Linked DNA regions of Cricetulus griseus. The protein of the gene in region 2 interacts with the protein of the main gene of each other region in a biochemical or structural test. Links are inferred from orthologs where the notes say so. Each region holds a gene or a part of one and is shown on either strand. Other genes may lie near its edges.

Region 1 (8,256 bases), on a different chromosome or scaffold from region 2:
GAGCTGTTGCCATGGGCCTCAGCCTAAACGCCAGCACACATGGGGCAATCCCCAGACAGCAGAGCGTGTGTCTCTCCACGTGCGCTGAAGAAAGCTCACTCCTTAAGTTCTTAGAAACTTTTCTGGGGCTAGTAGATGGCTCAGGGATAAGGGGATTGCTACAAGAGCCTGGCGGCCTAAGGTCGATCCCCAGATTCCATATAAAAGCTGGTTACAGTAGTACAAGTGTTTGTATTCTCAATGCGCCCCTAAGGAGACACAGGAAGGACCTACACAATATTCTCCCTGCCCCTCTTTCTCTCTCTCTCTAGACACACACACACACACACACGTACATAAACACACAGACACACGTACATAAACACACAGACACACGTACATAAACACACAGACACACGTACATACACACACAGACACACATACATACACACTCAGACACACATACATATACACACACGTACACACACGCTCGCACACACACAGACACACACACACACACACACACACACACACACACACACACACACTAAGTTAAAAGGTACTTGACTTCCACATGACCATTCAGAGCCAGATTCCCTACAAGACAGGTCTGGAGGCTGTATTGATCATTTGCCCCAACACAACCTGTCTCATTATCCAGAGACAATGAAGAAGCCTATAGAAATGCGTAATAGGAACAGCTTTACAATAGAAATTCTGATAACTGGATTAAGTTTAAACACTTTAATCAACTATAACAAATCAATTATCATATATAAAAATTCTGACTCATGCATCAGATTACATAAATTATACAACTGTCACATTATACAATGTTTATATACTTTTGTACCTGCAAAAATGTATATGAGTTGCTAAGCATTTACTTAAGAAGGAAGGGTAATACTTTTCAATTATAAACAATGCTTACATCATTCCAACACTTGCTAAGAACATACATTTCTAGATCTGCAGCATTTTTTTTAAATTCATCACAGTACATACAATCTAGAAGTTCCATAAATTAAAAAAGGTCCAAATGTACCATTAGGGGACAGATTTCAATTCCATTGTAAGGGTTGATTTTTTTTTTTTGACAGAGAAAAGTAAATGAAATAAAACGTCAACTTTAGTTTAATGCTTGAAGAGCTTCTACACATCTTATTAAATATATCAGGAAGCCCTTCATATGCAGATTAATTAGTGAAGGTGCTACCTATTGCATATTAAATACTTCCAAGGACAGCATCTGGATTATTAAAGTTATAAATCTGTGAAAACGGGGGCTTTCGGTGCATGCTGACAGACCCTCTGTATACCACCACCAGCTTGCAGCACAGTCCTTCCCTCTGCTGAAAAGAGATCAAATGACTGGGCATGCTCACATCACACACACACACACACACACACAGGAGTGACATCCACTGCACCTTTAGGAAAGATGAGTACACAGAAGGCAAAGAGTTTTCGCCTGCTTTCCCAATCCAAGGTAAGCTGCTTTTATTGGGGTGGTGGGTGGGGGATAAAGCTATCCAGGAAAACAAAGCTTTAGTTTATCAGTTACAAAAGATACTTAGCAATAGCAAGTCTTCCTTTTTACATTTTGTTTAAGATTCTCCTTGTTCAGGAATAAGCACTCACATGGGGGTGGGGAGATGGTAACGGGGACATGGAAGAGCAGGTCTGTCACTAATGAGCTTATTTACTTAGGTTTCCACTCGTGAAACCCTTTTAAATACAAGGTGACATTTTCACAGCTGGAAAATTACAACTAGATCTTGATTTACTGCCAAAAGCAATACACGCACTTATGTATAATCTATGAATAATACTACATTCATGGGAGGAGGGCAAAACTAGGGTGGATGCAGAACACAGCAGCAAAAGGCAATGCTTCCAACACTTACCATTAATGGGCTACACTGCATCTTATATACAAGTCTAAGCAATGACCTTGGTGCTCGAGGAATGACACAAGTCCCAGTAGCTGGGTGACGTGGCAATACTGTCAAGCTGAGTTTAGAACTGGGAAGAGACAGGTTGTAAAATACTGTTGTTGTTTTAAGAAGTAGTTTAATTATGTAACAGAAGTGTGTTAGCTTAAATCAGGCTTGAGAGAAGTGTTGATTCTGTGATTTAAAAAAAAAAATCTTGTCAGTAGAAGTGGTTTTAAGCATGTATTTTTAGGCTAAAAGTAGAAATAAAACATCCTTTAAAAATCTATTATGCATGCACTGTTTACTGAAACATACATTTTACTTCCTCTTCTAAGTTAATACAAAAAATAAACCACTAGAATATTCCATGTGACATTTGGAAAATGAACCAATCATGTTGGCCTTCTTTCTATAGTGCCTGGTGGGTACAGTCACATGCTATATTCACTTGTTTTATATCTAAGTTTGTTATGTTTACTATGATAAAAACATTAAGCTCACGAGTGAACACAACATTTTACAGAGTGTAAATGGATACTTTTTATTTGTCTTAGACTTTTGTTTATAATCTGGGTATAATAACTGTGCCTCAGATAAACCTCACTGCCTACAAGACTGCCACTGGACAAAGCTTCATTTTAGATTCTGAAGAGGCAAATACTTGTCAGCCTAGCCAGTCACCAAGGGCAGATGAGTCCATAGATATGGATTCTTGTGGAGGTAACAACTGTGGCTTATAACTTGCTTCTCATAAAAGGGGGCGGCAGCATTTGAACCACGCTTTTCAGATGAGATTTATGGAAAACTTATTCCCAGGATAAAACAGACAGCTTGAGTTCACTCTAGAAAGGACATATTTGGCTGATGCATGTCACTGCACCTGCAGGTATCTGTCACAACACTGAAAACACAGATCTGGGTGCTTTAGAAAGTTTAAGAGTCTCAGCAATGCTATGGTGAAAATATGCTAAGAATTTTAAGAATTTGGTAACATCTAACAAATGTTAATTTTAAATGGCACCATTTAAAAGTAATATTTACCAAGATCTCACATGGGAAAATCAAATCTATAACTAGTCTTTGAAGTTTATTATAGAATCACTTCAATTACAAGTGGAAGAAAATTTGATTTTAAAAAGCCATTTTTCCTTCTCTATTTGAATTTTAGAAAAGTATCTAAGTTTGCATTTGGGAAAAACTCACTTCAAAACCCATGTTTTCTAGAAAAACCACAGAAACTTAGAAAATATAGATAACAAGCGGTTTTGTGACCAAAAATATGAAAATCAGCAAAACTATCATCTTTGCTTTCATTTAACTTTCAGTGAAAATGCAATTCACTACAGGGCTGGGGATGCACTCGAGTTGGTCTCTGTAGGCAGTCTTTTCATTTCCAATCCAGAAAGACAGTCTGCTTCAGAGCATTTAGATCTCAAAGGCTGAAATACCAGGAGAAGATCAGCAATATTCTTACCTCATAACTTTTCACTTTAAATTTTAGGATAATTTTTTTACAAATACATAAGGCAGATCCACACAGGAACTACCATTCTAGGGAGGCGGGCTCAAACAAAGACCCCATATTTTGGTGACATATCAACCCCTCAAGGGTGGACGTGGGGTGCCCCACGCTGTGACTGTGAGGCTGGTGAAGGGACGGGCTGCTCTCAGCACTCACTGCTGCAGTCAATCTCTGGATCGGGGCTCACAGGCAACCATCTGTTCTACTGCTGATGAAACTGAAGCCAAGCCCTTCATTCCTACAACTTGCTGTTGCCTTGGGTTATCCGGCAACAGCCAGCCAGCCCCTCAGACGCCAGCTCATTTTCAGATGTATCTTTGCTGTTGTCTTTGCTCATAATCCAAAGTACAACCAACTGTACTAGCCTATCTCCTGCCTACACTCCCCATAAACTCAAATAGCAGGAGAAAACCAGCTGAAGAAATCCATGCTTCAATGGGAAAAATAAAGAGCCCTAATTTTGTCATTCCTTGAAAAGAGATCATCACGTTTTGGGGCACAGGGCTTTCGGGGTGGGGGTGGGAGGTGGGGGGCTGAGTTGGATGTAGTGAATCCCTTCAAATTCAGGGTTCAGAGAATCAGAAGAGGATTGAAGCAGCTTCTCCATTGAGATGGGGTGGTCCTAGTGACAAGCAGTCATGGTGGATACTGCAAAAGCGAATTTTAGACTATGAGATTCGAATCCTAACCTTAGAGGCAACCACTTGTTTTTAAATGTCTTAAAAGCTCACGTGTATATGAGGTATATGCATGTATATATACACAGAGACACTTGAACATACATAGTCATAGATATATGAGGAACTTGCTATTTTTTAGTAGTGTTTATAACGAGCAGTGTTCCTGACGTTAAGTGCGTCTAGACTGACTTCTAATAATCCAACAACAGTATCAGCTCTGCTTCACAGAATCTATTCCTGAGGAATAACTCATGGGCTGTTAAAGATATTTCCAGGCCTATGGCAGACAGGGGTCCAGAACTAGCATCCAAGTGATGCCACAGAACTGCTCATTCATCAAGGCATGGCCTGTTTTCAAGTGTCAGAGTGTAGAGTGCTTTACTCACTCCAAAGTCACTCTAGACAATACCTGCGAATATGTACAAGACCAACGTATTTCCCAGTGATGGAGGGGAGGAGGTGAAACCTGACAGTGTGGGCTCTTCCAGTAACACACTCCCTTCCTCCCTTCCTTCTTTCTTATTCCCTCTAGCCCTCTCTTCTCAACTATAAACACAGTCCTGTTGGCTCCACTAGCTGTTGGTGAACTTGCCAGCTTTCCTGGATGGCTCATAGGGCACTCGCAGGATGCTGGGCGTCTCCTCCATCACCCTGACAAGGAGGTTGTCAATGTAGTCCTCTAGCTCTCGGATGTGGGTGTCTTTCCTCCGAAGAAGTTCTTTGTGCTTCACCAGCTCCTGTAGCACCTCTTCATAGGTCAGACTCCGGTACCCAGCCGTGGCATCAAAAGGATTGTTGTCCTGGAATGAAATACAGACCTGCTTTAGCAAGCAGGACACAGTGACAGACATTAAGAGTCAGAATTTCATCTTCTGGTTTTTCTGAGGCTGATGAAGTTTCTCTCCAGCCATAGTTAGAAACAGGGTTCCAGTTCCCAGGTGCAGCTAGTGCCAAGCAGGAAGGAAGGAAGACAGGTTAAAAGCCTCACCTGAAATTCATTCTTATACTGGGAACAACTTCTTAGTCCCAGAGACTGCCCATACTAGTGTGGCCTTAACTACAACATGAGTGTTGAGGGTGTGGCTCTGTGGCAGAGCACTTGCTTGGCATGCAGAGGTCCCTAGGTTCCATCTCCAGCATGCTAGAGGGAGTGGATAGGATATGCTCTATAATTTCAAACTATAGTTAGCCAATGTAATGAAAACAGGTTAAAAGTAGACATCTAGCCAAAGTACTGTCAAGAAGCTAGAGAAACTTCACAAATAGACACCACACATATAGACACTGTACACATAGACATTGTACATATAGACACCATACATACAGACATCACATATACAAAGTACACAGACACCACACACATATACACACTGTGCATATAGACACTGTACATATAGACACCACACATAGACACTGCACATATAAACATAGACAACATAGAAACTGTACATATAGACACTGTACACATAGACATTGTACATATAGACACCATACATATAGACATCACACATACAATGTACACAGACACCACACATATACACACTGTGTGTATAGACACCAAACACATAGACATTGTACATATAGACACCATACATATAGACATCACACATACAATGTACACAGACACCACACATATACACACTGTGCATTAGACACTGTACATATAGACACCACACATATAGACATCACATATACAATGTACATAGATACCACACATATAGACACTGTGCATATAGACACCAAACATATGGACACCACACATAGACACTGCACATATAAACATAGACAACATAGAAACTGTACATATAGACACTGTACACATAGACATTGTACATATAGACACCATACACATAGACATCACACATACAATGTACACAGACACCAAACATATAGACACTGTGCATATAGACACCAAACATATAGACACTGTACATACAGACACCACATAAAGACACTGTATATATAAACATAGACACCAAACATATAGACACTGTACATACAAATACCACACATATAGACACCACACATATGGATCCCCCAAATGCAGACACTATACATATCAACATACACACCACACATATAGACACTCTACAGGCACCACACATATAGGCACCGTACATATAGACACCAAACATACAGACACTGTAACACAGACACTGTGCTCACAGAATCACTCCACTAAATTCAGATTCACACTTCTGCCTGGGGTTTTTATTGATGACAGCTATGAGAAACAGAAATACCAGTCTGCTTCTCTAATTTATTGAAAAATGACAGAGGCACCTGGAACTAAACCAATGACCATGATCCACGGTTATAACTTCTGTCTTAGCTGACCAGCACGGTGAGATTCTCTCCCTAAGTAACAGATGCTTCCAGTTCCCATAAACAACAGTTGGATACTGTTTCTATTTTCCGCCCTGTTGTCAGGAAGCTTGGAGCTCAGCTACAGCCATATGAATACAGTCAAGACAGCTATGTGCCCTCTCATCTCACTCATTTACTTAGCTAATGATATCCTAGTGTCCAAAAGTAAAATCTAGCAAAAGCATAGATACAACCATAAGAGTGTCTTGCCTTAACTTTTTTTATTCTAACAGTGTTGTGACACCAAAATCTAAAGAAAACAACTTGTGAGGGTGAAGATGGGCCCTGTAACACTCCCTTGATAGCAATGCCCTGGAATTTAGATCTCCACCATGTAATGTCGAGATACAAACAGCAGATTCGATGCCTTGAAAACACAGTTCTGCTCATAAACTCAACAATTTGGGATGATCTGTATCACTGTTAGTCAAAACACTTCCATTTGCTTTAAGAAAATAACTAAAATACTAAGGAAACTAGTTTTCTGTTCCGAAGGCAGGACTCAAGAGTCTGTCCAGTGGAGGATGGGTGAGGCCTGGGGAATATGGAAAGACTTTTGTTCCCACAGAAATTACATGTCTCTCCCACCTTCAGTACCCTCCCTCTTTCACTGTGATGCGTCTGGGACTTTTCCATTAACGCCAAGGCCAGTTCTTCACCATATGCTCCCCCTTCTAACCCCTAGGCAGAAGCTGGAGTAACATCCAGTCACTCCATTGTGCCCCTTCTTCCTGGACATACACACATTAGGCTGAGACTCAGGACTGGGGTGGTGACAGCTTTCAACAGGCTTCACACTCTCCATGCAGAATTGGACGGTGAGACGAGCATGGACAATGAGTAAACAGGGATCAAGGTCCAGTGGCCTGCCACAGACCAGAGAGACGCAACCAGAAAACAGGTGAGACAGAGGATCTGGTGACACCCACCGCCCCATCGAGCATGGACAATGTCATCCTTGATGGTCTGCAGCATTTTCCTAAGGGAAATAAAAACTATTGAAGGCTTCTAAGCAGAAATGGCTCACTTCTCAGCTCTTCTGCTATGATCAACGATAAACAGAAATATCTTGGAAACAAAGTTCTAGGAAACTAACATGGCAACTATGGTTAGACTGGGGGAGCAGAGGCTGCTTCCAGAGCTATTAAAATACTGAAAGCATGAATTTGGATGCTATAAAAACCTTAACAGTCTCTATAATGCCATGATAAAATATGCAAAGATTTTTTTAACATTTAATAAATGTTAACTTAAAAAATTCTTACCAAGACCTCAGTCATGAAAGTCAAATCCTTTACAAGATACTGAAGTTTATTATAAACTTACTTTACTCATAATAAATGTAATATTTAAGAAAAGTGAGTATGAATTCTGAAATATATACTTTAAACAACTCATTTTCTTTATTGAAACTTTCTGAATTAAATTACTTGTGCCCCAACATTTCTAATGTTGCTCTTAAGCCCTATAAGGATAATTTGGGGCTAAGTGCTGGCTGCCACCTTCCCTCTTGGGTCAATTAAATCTATAACAATGTATTGGTCACTGGTTGTTCAGAGGTATACTATAAATTTATTAATTATATTCTCATAAAATATATATAGTATTTTGCATTTTTCTATAATAAAGACAAGATAAATTATAGTGACTTTTTTGATTTGTCAGAAATAAGCTAACCTTTGTATTTGAGCACAAGTAATAATGTATAAAAATGAGATGGGAATCAGGCTGGGTCTCATACCCCTTATCTGATGAGGCATCTCCAACCCCT
Region 2 (8,728 bases):
TTCTGAATAAAATGCTCAAGATCTTCAGCTTCTGAAGGAAAATGATTTGTTTTGGTTAAGGGTTTTGGAGATTTCAGTCATGGCCTCTCAGATACATGCCTTTTTGGCCTACAGCAACGCAGATCCTTATGGTGGAGAATGAATGCAAGGGCAGGATTGCTCAGCCCAGTGCAGCCAGGATGGATAGATAAAGGAGAAGGGTGCCAGGATTTCAAGCTTATTCAAGGGTGTGTCTCCAGCATCCCTTATAATAGGCCTTCCTAACAGGGGCAGTGAGGCCTTCAACACAGGCACCTTCATGGTTTTTGTCATCCGCTGAGTTAGTGGGATTGTGTGACTGTGCCAGACCTCCCTCCCAGAGCGTTCATCCCATCCTGCCCTTCGATTTTCAAACTGAAAAGCTTTAAATTCAGGCCAATATCTTCACATTCCAGGGCAGAAACATGGGTTTTCTATCATTTCCAAATGATTCACCTCTTGGAAGACCTTGTCAGGCAGGAGGAGACAATCACATACAAAATTTTGGGAAAAAAACAAAAAAAACATATCCACAGATGAGCTAGAGGTATTGGTTACAGAAAATTGATAAGGAATTAAATGCCTTGCACAGCACAGGAGAGGTAGGAGTTGCAAACTCAGCGGTCCAGGCCACAGATTCCTCAGCTTGTGGGTGTCCAGGGAGAGCAAGGAAGGATACTTAAGAATGGATTTCTTTTACCCACTGACAACAGGAACTTGGATTTAACACAGCTACCAGAGTCCAATATTCTCAGCTAATTATGACTTCAGAGGGCTTCCCCAAGTATTTGCAACCCTATTACACAATATATGAAGAATGATTTCCCGCATTGATCTTCAGTTGTGTTCCTACAGAGGAGAGGCTACAATGTGCCTAAAGAAAACATGCCACTTCCTTGAATTGGTAGTGGGGTGGAGGTTCGCCAGGCCTGCAAACAGCTCTATTCTTTGGATAGTTACTTAAATATTCAAAATAATAAAAGTGCTAGGTAGATTTTTAAAGCACTCTCAGTAACTGAACATCTGGGTAATGGTATAACATCCTTTCACCACATGCTGGGTAACAATATAACATCCTTCCACCTCAGCCCACTTGGTTCAGCTTAGACAAATCACAGTGCAGGGAGAGCAGGTCACTCTCCGCCAGTCTCATAGCTCCATTGCAACCTCCCACTCACAAACATGTACACAGGAAGTCTCACTAAGGCTGCTAGACACACCCACAGACTTAGCTGGAACTCAGCAAAGTGAAAGCACAGAAACAGGGAATTTTCAGCCAGTAGAGGGCAGGAGTGGAGCAGTTTGCAAGGGAGGCGGGGAACAGGAAACAGCATTGGACCTGCACTGAGCTCTGTTCTGGTCAAAGCATAGATAGGCTGCGCTCATCAACCCAAGGCTGGCATCTGACAAATGCCCAGCACCACCTAAAAGCAGAAAACCAGGCCAAGTATTAGCACACAAGCATGTTATACTTATCCTCACTCTAGAGAGAAAGAAAAGACAGATGACACTATTCTCCAGAGAAGTCACCATCTTCTGGCTGTCTGCCAAACAGAACATCTTAGATTATGAAAAGTGACCTAAGACAGAGGAAAAAGCACCCACACCACATGATGGTACTTGTATGAAGTACCTAGTGCAGCCAGAGTCAAAGACAGAAGGTGGCATATATATAAGCAAGGGCAAGAAGGAAGTCGTTCCCTTCTCTCTTCCTCCTGGTCTCTACTCTGGAGTCACCATGTGATCCGCCGGCAAGTGAGGGCATCAGCGGATGGCGTCCTCTATAAGATAAGTCTTATAAAATATATAGATTTATGAAAATTAAGACTGAGCTAGCAGATGAGAAATCCTAGTCATTGGCCAAGCAGCATTTGTACCTAATATAAGTCTCTCTGTGTTACTTGGGACCTTAATATGGCGGCGGGGGGAACTTGGGTGGCCTGGCAGAAAGCACACACATGGCAGCAGGACTCAGACTGCTTGTTACAGTGGCACAGTGGCAGGCTGTAAAAAAAGATACGAGAGGTGTTTGATGGGGGTAGTTGCAGTTTTGCCATATGTTAAAAGAGCATGGTAACCATTTGCAGTAGTGCAAATGGCACTGAATTGTTCACTTAGAAATGGACCGCCTGGTTACATTTATATTCTACAGTTTACTAGAAGAAATAACCGAACAAAAGTGGGAGGGGCATCTAAGATGAATGGTGAGAGGCCTGAATACCTCATCAGAGGCGGCTGTTGGCAGTGAAGTAGGCATTCCTGCTATCAGCCTGGGGTTGGATTTCCTAGCAAAAAATCTGGCCTACCCTCTTTGCATTTGCTTCTGCACTAAAACCAACAGCATTTTACTTTGGGGGCTGGGAGGTCAGGATGGTAGTACAGGATGGCTTCAGCTTCAGAAGAACTGCTCTTCAAGCACTCAGCCTCCAGCCATGCAGTGCCTGTGTCCCTACCTCCAGTGGACAGTGCCCAGTCACTTTTGGGGCCAGCTTTATGCCAGCCGTAAGCCACAGGCAATAGAGAGAGAGACTTGTATGCTCAGAGCCTATGCTGATCTCCAGCCCGGGGCTTTCTTCCAGTTCCACCGTGACCAGTCTCATAGCCGGATAGGAAAAGATGGGCCATGGGCAGCTTCCAAGATTTGTCGTTCAGGGCCAAAGCTGTGTGCAGTCAAGGACACAAGTATCTGCTGTTTTAGCAACATGACAGATCAGCCCTTGCTTCCTCCATACAGCTTTTAACAACACCCACCCACATGAAAAGACCAACTGAAATGAAATCTGTTGGAGTAGAATCCACTCTATTCAAGCGGGTGGACTAAATTCATTTTGTTTCAGGGGCAGGGTGGGAAGTTATTCAAAATGGTAAACAAGATTCCATCTGCTGACAGTTTTGTTTCTTCCCTCAAAGCCAAGATATGACTAGCAAAGCCTGTCAGCTAGAGGGAGAAGGACATGCTAACCAACCTGAATTCACCTGCCCCAGTGCCATACTCAAAGTGACACACTCGAATTCATACAGCACGGGTTGGTGGTTGGAGAATGTTCAATCAACAGGTTGCTCAACCAAGCATTTGGAGTGGGAAACAGAACAAAATACTTCGAAGAATGAACAACACCAAGACAGTTAATAATTCACAGGCAAAGGACACAATATAGACATTCCAGGCCCTGGATTTCAACACAAACCTTTCATTCACTCTATCCTGCTCTGCAGCCCATCCATTTAGCCATCTGTCTGTCTTAAAGCCAGTTCTTCATGTCATCCCACCACTTTGTTTAAAACCAGGCTCCCTGTGTGTACCCTTTGTAAAATGGCTGTCTGTCACCTCAGCCTCAGGCCTCCTGGGTCCCAGGATCACTGGTCTGCCTTCCTTCCCTTGTGCACATGCAACACTGGGGTCTCGGGCACTGGGCACACGTAGATCCTGCATTAACATTACCCACTGTTGGCCAAAGGTACCCTGAGCCCAGGCTCCCACCACCTGTTCTGTTCCCAGGGATTGTTCCCTCTTGCTGATGCCTCAACACAGCAGACTTGTTCTCTTCACTCCAACATAAAGACTCTTGTCTCAGCTACCAGTCAAACTCCACTTGCTAACATGAGTGGGCAGACTCATGGTTTGTCACTTTTCACATACACTATCATTAACAATGACAGAAGAATTTGGAATTCAGAAACACCAACGGGCAGGCAAATCTAAGTCCATATATTTTGGGCGCCCACCCTAAGGACCAGCACTTACTGTGTCATCTTCCAGTCTGAGCTGCAGGCTTTTATCCCCCTCTTTGTAGTCCTTGGTTAATTCAGCTGAGCGCCACACTTCATCTGGGTCAGGGATCCAGACCCTTGTGTACTGAAAGATGAGAAGAAAAGAGACTTAGACACAAAGCAAAGCATCCAAAGCATGTGTCAGCATCTATAAAGGAGTTGTCAGGAAAATATTCTACAGCAACATCCATATACCATGAGTCCCACTAAAGACACAAGATGATTCAATATTATAAATAATAAATAGTTCATAGGACTAGTTTACAACAGCACCCTCTCAGTCTTAAGAAAACGTGATAGTCACATTAAAATTCTTTCAGGAGACAGCTCAACACAGGCTTACCACCCTTTTAAAAGGAGACACAAAACAGAAGGATGGAGCATGTTATAATTAGTAAAATAATACTGGTCAAACACAGGGAAGCACAGCAAGACTTCACAGTCTACATTCAGTGGAAGTGGCCAACAAGTCAAAGGCACCCACTGTTAATGGTATAAATCCAAAATATCTCCTCATGCTCTAAATGATTTTGGACCCTGGACCTGCTAATCCAGGAGGCCCTGACCCTTTAGGATGTTTGGCCTAGCTGAAATCATGACACTAGTGGACTTGTGGGGGGGGGTTGTGATGGTTATACCTGCCTTCATCCCTTGCTCTGATCCAGCCACTGTCTTCTGACTCTGTGGCCCACCATGATGTAAACATCCTCAACCACACATTTTCACTGACTACTATGATCACCTTTTCACTGACTATCATCACCTTTTTATTGACTACTATCATCAAAAAAGTTAGCCTTTGAGACCATAGTAAATCTGTCTGATTAGCTTCCTTTCTGGCTTCACAGTCATTTCTTTCAAGTGAGTCTCATTTCATGATTGCAAGATCTTCTAGACACATTACTTTGAATCCTTAGGATTCAGCACATCTAGCAGGTGTGCTCAGTGATTAAAAATGGAATGCATCTTATAGGGGAGCCTGGTTTTACCTAAAATATATTGCCCTGAGCACCACATAATCCAGTACAGACATGGAAATCAACTGCCCAAACTTCAGGAACCTACCTAGTAGGGCAGGTGATACTCATCAAAATATAGTTGAAGGAGTGATGGGACAACTCCTAAGTGTGTGTGTGTGTGTGTTGGGGGTCAGGGTGGATAATGGCTACTCAGTCCATGCAGAAGAGACAAGGAGGGCAGGGAAGATATATCTGGCTGAGAAAGAAGAACCAGGCAGCTTCGTTCTAATGTGGCTTTAGGAAGGCATTGCAGATTCAGATCTTACTGGACAAACCTCAGACCAAAATCCAGTAAACACTTGGCGAGTAGCCTGTGCCAGTCCGTGCCACATGCTATCATAAATCTTCCCAGTCTCCCTCCAATAACAACCTGTGTGACATTTCTCCTCTGTTCTGAATGCAGGGTGGCTGCATCTACAGGCTGGCTTCCCCGTGCCTCTGGCCTCTTACATTTATCCTCTATGGGTTCTCCACTTGAAGCTCCTACAAATTACTCAACAGGGACACTCACCCAACATCATACTTAGCACACACAATGGGCAATTTACAGCACGTTCAAGGGTGATTTAATGATACACCAACTTTGCATTCTAGCTTTGCAAACACTGCCACCCTCACTTGCCCACATGACTTAAGGTAAGGCATGGTCTCTGAAATATGCACAAAGTATCACCAGCACAAAATAAACAATAAGAAAGCAGACCCACAGACTGGAAAGGGAGAGACGCCACAGTAACTAGCAAGGGACTTGAGAAGGGGAGGGTAGCCAGGTGTGATGGGGCTGTGGAGAGGAAAGGGATTTGAAGGAGACATCTCCAGGAGTGACGCAAATGCTATACAGCCAGACAGAGTGCATGCATGAAATATTTGCTCTCAGTTAAAACGATGTGAGTATAAAGCCTGGAGCAAGTGCAGCAACCACGAAAGTGCAGGAGGAGAGCAACAGAGGGGAGTAGCAGGGTACAGTTGACCTGAAGAGGGAAAGGGGCAAAATGGAAAGATAAATACAGTAATAATGTATGAAAAAGTTATAAAGAAGCATACTGTTATCTCCCTGCCTAAAATTATATATCATAATTTAGGCAGAGAGATTATATATATATGTATATATATATATACATATATATATATATATTCTGTGTACACATACACATATACAATTGAAATGCAATCTTCTCATGTGGACTGACAACACTTCCTCCAAGGGCCATAGACTAACAAAAACTCCCAAGCATGAGACTCCCCTTTTGAGTTGTTGGTCAGGGTTGTCCAAGAGATTCCCCTTTCCTGCCCCCAGAGATGGAAAGTAAGTCCTTATTGCTGAAGACATCATGCCCTTCAGATGCAAGACCCAGAGGACTGGAGCTAGGATTGACTTAAAGCCACCTCCTGGAGGACTACCTTTCATGGTACCAGAAAGAGCCATGCAATCTTCCAAAGGAAAAGAGAAGTGGTCTTCCCGAGAGAAGAGCCCCAAACTGCTTATCTAATACCAAGTGGTCAGCCCAGAGATTATATACATACAGGTAACATTATAGGTGGAGCAGATTGTATTTGTGTATTAAGGAATATGTGTGTGTATACACACATATATATTCATATATATAGTCCAATAACTAAAGAGACCATGAATTTGAGAGAGAGCTGGGGTGGGGGCATGGGATGAGTTAGAGGGAGAAAAGGGAAGGGGAAAATGACATAATTGTAATTTAAAAAAATTATAAAAACCAAACAGCAACCCTCCCCTAAAGTCCACCACATTGTTGTACTAGAGAGGGTCCAAAACCATGGAGTATGCAAACCTTCTCTTGTCATGCGTTCTTACTACTAACCTGTAGGAAAACTGTAACAATACATATTTTCAAGAAACTTGTCTTCTTTTATGTGTGTGTATGTGTATTTGCCTGAGTTTATGTGTATCAGATGTCTGCAGATTCCTACACAGGACCAGAGAGAACATGGGATCCTCTGGAACCAGAGTCAAGTGGTGTGTGTGAGCCATCATGTAGGTGCTGGGGACCAAATTTCAGTCCTGGACAAAAGCAGTAAATCCACTTAAAACAGTTCTGAATTGAGTGTGTGTGGGAGGACCTGGAGGACTGAACCTAGTACCTGGCATATGTTAGACAGTGCTTTACCATTGAGTTACTTCCAGCCTTTTATTTTTCACACCTTTGAGAGTTTCTCTCAGATCTAAGCTCTAGCAGCTTCACTGAATGTAAGACAGCAGACTGTCTGAGGACAAGTTCACTCAGTATCCTAATTACAGAGTTACAGAATCTGTCACTACTGTATTTTAGCCACGCTTAGCTCCTTTATGAAGAGCAAATGAAGTATTATTATTATAACCAAGTAAGAGGTAATCTGGGAAGGAGCCCATATATTAACTAGGGATGACTACATCAAATGTTAAAGATTAGCACGGAGCTGTTCTCAAGGCCTTTGCTCCCTGCCTCTGTCTCCAGTGGCATCGAAACATGCAGCTGGAGAGTGGCTGCCTATGACAACCGTGCTCTGAGCTCTGGCTGCACATTACAGTCACTCAGGAGCTTATTAATTCCCAAGCCAGACAATACCCTAGACTATCTCCATCAACCTTGGGGGTGGGAATCAGGCAGTGTGAAAGCTTCCCAGATGAATCCAATGCACAAGCACCTTGAGAACCAGCAATCTGCGTGGTTTGCCTGAGTAACCTCTTTGGGGAGTACAGAGATCCTCATGGATATAGAGGCATCCTTTTGCCAGCATTCTCAACTAAAACGTTTCGGGCAAATGCAAACATGATGTCTGCAAGAGCACACCATTTGTCCACATATGCACTGTGGTAGGTTTCTGGGCTCTACAAGACAGGTCAGTGGCCAAAACTTACTGTCTTGAGTGGGCTGTTGCATATGTCTGAACGCCATCCTCCTCAGATGAACATTAGGATGAAAACTTTATCTACCTCAAACAGTTACCAAAAATTAAATGGGTATCAGAGAATGATGGCAGTGGTGCTATGTATACCATGTTGTATGAAAAGCAGGACCCTGGTAGGATTCTAGATACCAACACCAATTTGGACATAAGTCTATTGCTTCAATTATTTTAGTGTTCTCAGGTCTCTGTACTTAAGTTACTAAACCTTGCCTTATGTTTAGTAACTGAATCTAGCCCCTTTCACTCCAAAAACTGAGAGAAGTGATTCTTGGTGCTGGCTGATAGATAAAAACTATCTGTAGACCTTTAAAACACAAGGACACTAACAGCCACATCCCACATTTGAATAATTAACTCTCTAGGGGGTAGATCCAGAGCAGTACATTAGAACAAAACAAAACCTCAAACTAACTTTCCAAATGATGAAATAATCACATAATTACAATCACTACTTCAGTGATCCTCAGAGCAAAGAAGAAACGTGCAGTAAGAGAACACGGGCACTTGAAGGATTCTCCTCCTGGCATTATTAGTGCCACCTCTATCACCTTACACTAAGGTAACTCACATGAAGTCCTTTAATCATATCAGCTTGGTCTCAAATCCAAGTCAAGGACAGTGGTGTTATAAACAGAAGAATCCGGGGTTTAGACACAATAGACAATCTGCCCAGGCTTCTGAGAGCTGAATGTGAGGGGGTTTTGCAGACCCAGAGCAAAGACCCCAGCCTCTGCCTCTAAACCTTCCACTCTGACCACCGACCAAGAGAAATACTGATCTTCTTGGGGAGGGGTCCAAATCCTGCTGAGTAGGTATTTTATATGAATAAAGTGTCATGTATAACAGTATCATACATGAAAACAAGTGTGAAGGCATAAAGGTAAGGCCTCCAGGGAGTTTCTCTGTAACATATCAGGCACACTGACAACTCAGGTGCAATGACGACTTGGTCTAAAGCAAAACGGTCTGGATTGTGCTCCCTAAGAAGAGCCAAAAAGGGC

The links. The genes of interacting proteins can lie anywhere in the genome.
Region 1: the proteins of Myo5b (region 2) and Rab11fip2 form a complex in vitro, tested with the Homo sapiens proteins (2 studies listed by BioGRID). The link is inferred for Cricetulus griseus from reciprocal best matches to the Homo sapiens genes MYO5B and RAB11FIP2.

Annotation. Positions count from the first base shown.
Region 1 is NC_048596.1:1,405,787-1,414,042, reverse strand, and holds the end of Rab11fip2 (rab11 family-interacting protein 2), read right to left. Parts: intron 4,940-8,256; coding exon 4,691-4,939; 3' UTR 1,062-4,690; downstream 1-1,061. UniProt on the Homo sapiens protein: A Rab11 effector binding preferentially phosphatidylinositol 3,4,5-trisphosphate (PtdInsP3) and phosphatidic acid (PA) and acting in the regulation of the transport of vesicles from the endosomal recycling compartment (ERC) to the plasma membrane.
Region 2 is NC_048595.1:165,303,075-165,311,802, forward strand, and holds the start of Myo5b (unconventional myosin-Vb), read right to left. Parts: upstream 5,330-8,728; coding exon 5,320-5,329; intron 3,898-5,319; coding exon 3,764-3,897; intron 1-3,763. UniProt on the Homo sapiens protein: May be involved in vesicular trafficking via its association with the CART complex. The CART complex is necessary for efficient transferrin receptor recycling but not for EGFR degradation.